Linked DNA regions of Saccharomyces cerevisiae S288C. The main gene of each other region encodes a partner of the protein of the gene in region 2 in a complex. Each region holds a gene or a part of one and is shown on either strand. Other genes may lie near its edges.

Evidence for each region. The genes of interacting proteins can lie anywhere in the genome.
Region 1: SMX2 (region 2) and SMX3 share a complex: the UniProt entries of both Saccharomyces cerevisiae proteins name them as parts of the sm core complex.

Annotation. Positions count from the first base shown.
Region 1 is NC_001148.4:898,410-900,954, forward strand, and holds SMX3 (mRNA splicing protein SMX3), read left to right. Parts: upstream 1-1,784; coding exon 1,785-2,045; downstream 2,046-2,545. Other genes in the region: GTPase-activating protein SEC23, read right to left, coding at 1-1,258; DPM1 (dolichyl-phosphate beta-D-mannosyltransferase), read left to right, coding at 2,346-2,545. UniProt on the Saccharomyces cerevisiae protein: Plays a role in pre-mRNA splicing as a core component of the spliceosomal U1, U2, U4 and U5 small nuclear ribonucleoproteins (snRNPs), the building blocks of the spliceosome.
Region 2 is NC_001138.5:101,977-104,506, reverse strand, and holds SMX2 (mRNA splicing protein SMX2), read right to left. Parts: upstream 809-2,530; coding exon 575-808; downstream 1-574. Other genes in the region: GNA1 (glucosamine 6-phosphate N-acetyltransferase), read left to right, coding at 45-524; LPD1 (dihydrolipoyl dehydrogenase), read left to right, coding at 1,380-2,530. UniProt on the Saccharomyces cerevisiae protein: Plays a role in pre-mRNA splicing as a core component of the spliceosomal U1, U2, U4 and U5 small nuclear ribonucleoproteins (snRNPs), the building blocks of the spliceosome.

The DNA of each region.
Region 1 (2,545 bases), on a different chromosome or scaffold from region 2:
GCCCAATCAAACCTTGTACCTTCAAGTCTTTACTTGTCTTGACTGCCATATTACCATTGAAAGCCATCTTCAAATACCCTTCTTCATCCTTGGCAAACAATCTCAAGTATGATTGCTTAAAAATCGCGGTAGAGAAGGCATCGGTTAGCAACAACACACCTCCAGTAGAGTCGGTCAACTGTTTCATTTCAGACATACCGATTTGATCGTAACAACCGGCAAAAATATCAACAGTGTGTCCATTGGCGGCAACTCTTTGTGCAATCTGGTTGTAAAACTTACAGGCCTTCTTGTAATGTTGCGCGTGATCAGAATCGATGTCGTGGTGGGATCTTAAGGGATCTTTTAACTCTGAGTTAACAATCAAACCTGGGGCCACGGTGCCTGGACCGGAGGCGAAAAGAATGATTCTTGCTGGGATGTTCTTATAGCAGCCCTGTAAAAGCAAAGATGCAATGTTCAAAGCGGAACCTGTGGCCCTTAATGGCCTATGACCCGCTGGAACAGACCATTGGTCTGGAGACAGATTTTCCAGTAATTGATTCAGTTTGAACTCGACCTGTTCCAAGGGCAGGAAGAACCTATTCAAAGAGAAGGGCGTAACTTTGTTCATGGCGTTCGGTAGATGAGATGCAGCACCGCCGGGGCCGGTAGGCTTTTGGCCGGTCAACATTTCCGTCAACGCTTCGAGCTGGTACTCCCTGTCTCCTCTGAACACGTTGCACCTGTCAATAGTTTCGCTGGACAGATCGTGCAATTGAACAACGTTTCCGTAAGTGATCAACCCAATCAGCGCGTTGGGAGGTAATAGAGACAAAGAAGTGATGATAGACTCCTTTAGCGAATCGAGGTTCTCGGTTTCCGAAGTCAAATCCACAACAAAGAAGAAAATGGGAGGAACGGTAACGGGCTTATTGGTGATGTACTCAATGGTGGTGGACTGTAACTCTAGCGGCATATTCTCCTGTGACAAGTTGGTGTACTGTGGAGGTAAATGGTTCCTGGAGTTACAGATGGGACAACTCCAGGACGAATTGCGCGGATCAATCACACAGTAAGGATTTAGAATCGACTTACAGTGTGGACCGGAACACACAACTGGATTGTATGGGGCAACGTTCAATTCGTCATACTCCTTCAAAGGTGTGTACAAACAGCCCACAGGGACGACGTTGCTGTTAGCGTCGCTTCTAGTAGAGGGAAACACGTTCCAGGTGAAACGGACCCCGTTGATGTCTTCATTAGTCTCGAAGTCCATGGCTAGAAAAGAGGAAGGGGAGGCAGGCGACAGACAGATAAACACTGGCTTCAGTTAATTGTGTGTCTTGCTGAACGTGGAAAGATCACAACAAGTATCTTTTTTTCTTTTTTCAAACGTGTTTTTCTTTTATTCTTGCTAGAACTTTCCTCCTTTGTAACAAACGAGAGGCGGCGGGCTAGTCGTCGCAAGCGACAAATCTCAACTGACAGTAAATAACGGTGATAAAACAAAATTAGCGCAATCTCTCAAACTACTGAGGACAACCAACTTGAATTGCACTCTTCCAAGTTGTAGCATGGCTTGGGGGGTGTGTGATCCCATCCTGTATTATGGCAAAGCAGGCAAAACAACCGCTCTGCCGTCCGGGTAACTTTTCTTGTTCCACCTCTTTTCCCCAACATATATGAACATGAGATGGTAAGAGCAAGAAACAACGGTTCTATGAGCAACGCAAAAACAGCACAGCACACACAGCACCGCGTACTATACCACACCACACACTACGTCACAACACAACAAGACAATGAGCGAGAGCAGTGATATCAGCGCGATGCAGCCGGTGAACCCGAAGCCGTTCCTCAAAGGCCTGGTCAACCATCGTGTAGGCGTCAAGCTTAAGTTCAACAGCACCGAATATAGAGGTACGCTCGTGTCCACGGACAACTACTTTAACCTGCAGCTGAACGAAGCAGAAGAGTTTGTTGCGGGTGTCTCGCACGGCACCCTGGGCGAGATATTCATCCGCTGCAATAACGTGCTGTACATCAGGGAGCTGCCGAACTAAGACGACTGTGCTCATCTCCCTTACATACCAGTATATTTACATACGCCCTCTACTGTAATACAATATCATTCTATAGCACTCGCATCGCGTATTTTTTTTTTATTTTCTTGCTTTATATTGTTCTATTTTTCTTCCTTATTCCTGCCTCTGGATTTCCCTCGCATGACAAATAGCGTGGAAAAATAAAGGATTTCCAGTATTTGAAAAATTTTCAGTATTCTTACGTGTTCCTAACTCATATAGACCGCTATTGTAATAACGCTATCGCTTCAATTACACACAAACATACACGCACCCACAATGAGCATCGAATACTCTGTTATCGTTCCCGCTTACCATGAAAAGCTGAACATCAAACCCTTAACAACCAGATTGTTTGCCGGCATGAGCCCTGAAATGGCCAAGAAGACCGAGTTGATCTTTGTCGATGACAACTCACAGGATGGCTCCGTTGAGGAGGTGGACGCCCTAGCTCACCAAGGCTACAACGTCCGCATCAT
Region 2 (2,530 bases):
GAGAGAATAGTTGACGAACGGAAGCTGGATATCAACATAAAATAATGAGCTTACCCGATGGATTTTATATAAGGCGAATGGAAGAGGGGGATTTGGAACAGGTCACTGAGACGCTAAAGGTTTTGACCACCGTGGGCACTATTACCCCCGAATCCTTCAGCAAACTCATAAAATACTGGAATGAAGCCACAGTATGGAATGATAACGAAGATAAAAAAATAATGCAATATAACCCCATGGTGATTGTGGACAAGCGCACCGAGACGGTTGCCGCTACGGGGAATATCATCATCGAAAGAAAGATCATTCATGAACTGGGGCTATGTGGCCACATCGAGGACATTGCAGTAAACTCCAAGTATCAGGGCCAAGGTTTGGGCAAGCTCTTGATTGATCAATTGGTAACTATCGGCTTTGACTACGGTTGTTATAAGATTATTTTAGATTGCGATGAGAAAAATGTCAAATTCTATGAAAAATGTGGGTTTAGCAACGCAGGCGTGGAAATGCAAATTAGAAAATAGTATTGCTGTATAGTACATAGAGGTCGACATATATATATATATATATAATTTTATATGGCATCTAGAGCCTCTAGGGATATTATGGAGTTGCCCCTAATGACGGTCTGCAAGCCTAGCTGGTGGTTATTGGCAGGGTCTTCACCATTTATCTCCATTGCATCATCAAGAACGACGTTTAAGAAAATATCGTAGCCTCGCAAAATTCCTGCCACTTTCCTAGATCCATTTATATTCAGCAATATCTTCTTGTCCATATATTTCTTCAGTTCAGGGGTAGAAACCATTGTATCTGTGCGTGTGTTTGCGTAATCCTGTCCTATGCCGGATACTCTATATGCGTTGTACTTTCTTATACATTCATTGCACCTTTAGAGATTTAATTTTTCTTACCACATTGTTTCTATCAGCACAAACGTGAAAGAGCGTAGGCGAGGCTATAGGAAAAAAGGGAAATGAAGAACAGAGGAATACTCGAACAATGCCACTGACAAACGTATGCGTGACTACCACGAATAGTCATGATGCAATGTACCCTCATATATCCCACTAAAAATATATACTTACTAATGGTTTATGCACGTGAATATCACGTGAATCGTTTTTAATGATGACTCGTTTTTAGAATACTTTATCATCTCGAACGGCTGTTCCCTCATTGGCGAGAAGTCTCCGCGGAGCAACTTAATGGAAACTTAGTGTATTATAATGCTAATAAACAATTTGATGATAATTCGTACCCTTTGACTCACCTCGAATATATATAGATATATATATACATATAACGTATATTTATATATATACGGTTTTGTTCGATTGTCTCTGTCGTACCATCAAAGAACATACTAACAGTTCACAATGTTAAGAATCAGATCACTCCTAAATAATAAGCGTGCCTTTTCGTCCACAGTCAGGACATTGACCATTAACAAGTCACATGATGTAGTCATCATCGGTGGTGGCCCTGCTGGTTACGTGGCTGCTATCAAAGCTGCTCAATTGGGATTTAACACTGCATGTGTAGAAAAAAGAGGCAAATTAGGCGGTACCTGTCTTAACGTTGGATGTATCCCCTCCAAAGCACTTCTAAATAATTCTCATTTATTCCACCAAATGCATACGGAAGCGCAAAAGAGAGGTATTGACGTCAACGGTGATATCAAAATTAACGTAGCAAACTTCCAAAAGGCTAAGGATGACGCTGTTAAGCAATTAACTGGAGGTATTGAGCTTCTGTTCAAGAAAAATAAGGTCACCTATTATAAAGGTAATGGTTCATTCGAAGACGAAACGAAGATCAGAGTAACTCCCGTTGATGGGTTGGAAGGCACTGTCAAGGAAGACCACATACTAGATGTTAAGAACATCATAGTCGCCACGGGCTCTGAAGTTACACCCTTCCCCGGTATTGAAATAGATGAGGAAAAAATTGTCTCTTCAACAGGTGCTCTTTCGTTAAAGGAAATTCCCAAAAGATTAACCATCATTGGTGGAGGAATCATCGGATTGGAAATGGGTTCAGTTTACTCTAGATTAGGCTCCAAGGTTACTGTAGTAGAATTTCAACCTCAAATTGGTGCATCTATGGACGGCGAGGTTGCCAAAGCCACCCAAAAGTTCTTGAAAAAGCAAGGTTTGGACTTCAAATTAAGCACCAAAGTTATTTCTGCAAAGAGAAACGACGACAAGAACGTCGTCGAAATTGTTGTAGAAGATACTAAAACGAATAAGCAAGAAAATTTGGAAGCTGAAGTTTTGCTGGTTGCTGTTGGTAGAAGACCTTACATTGCTGGCTTAGGGGCTGAAAAGATTGGATTAGAAGTAGACAAAAGGGGACGCCTAGTCATTGATGACCAATTTAATTCCAAGTTCCCACACATTAAAGTGGTAGGAGATGTTACATTTGGTCCAATGCTGGCTCACAAAGCCGAAGAGGAAGGTATTGCAGCTGTCGAAATGTTGAAAACTGGTCACGGTCATGTCAACTATAACAACATTCCTTCGGTCAT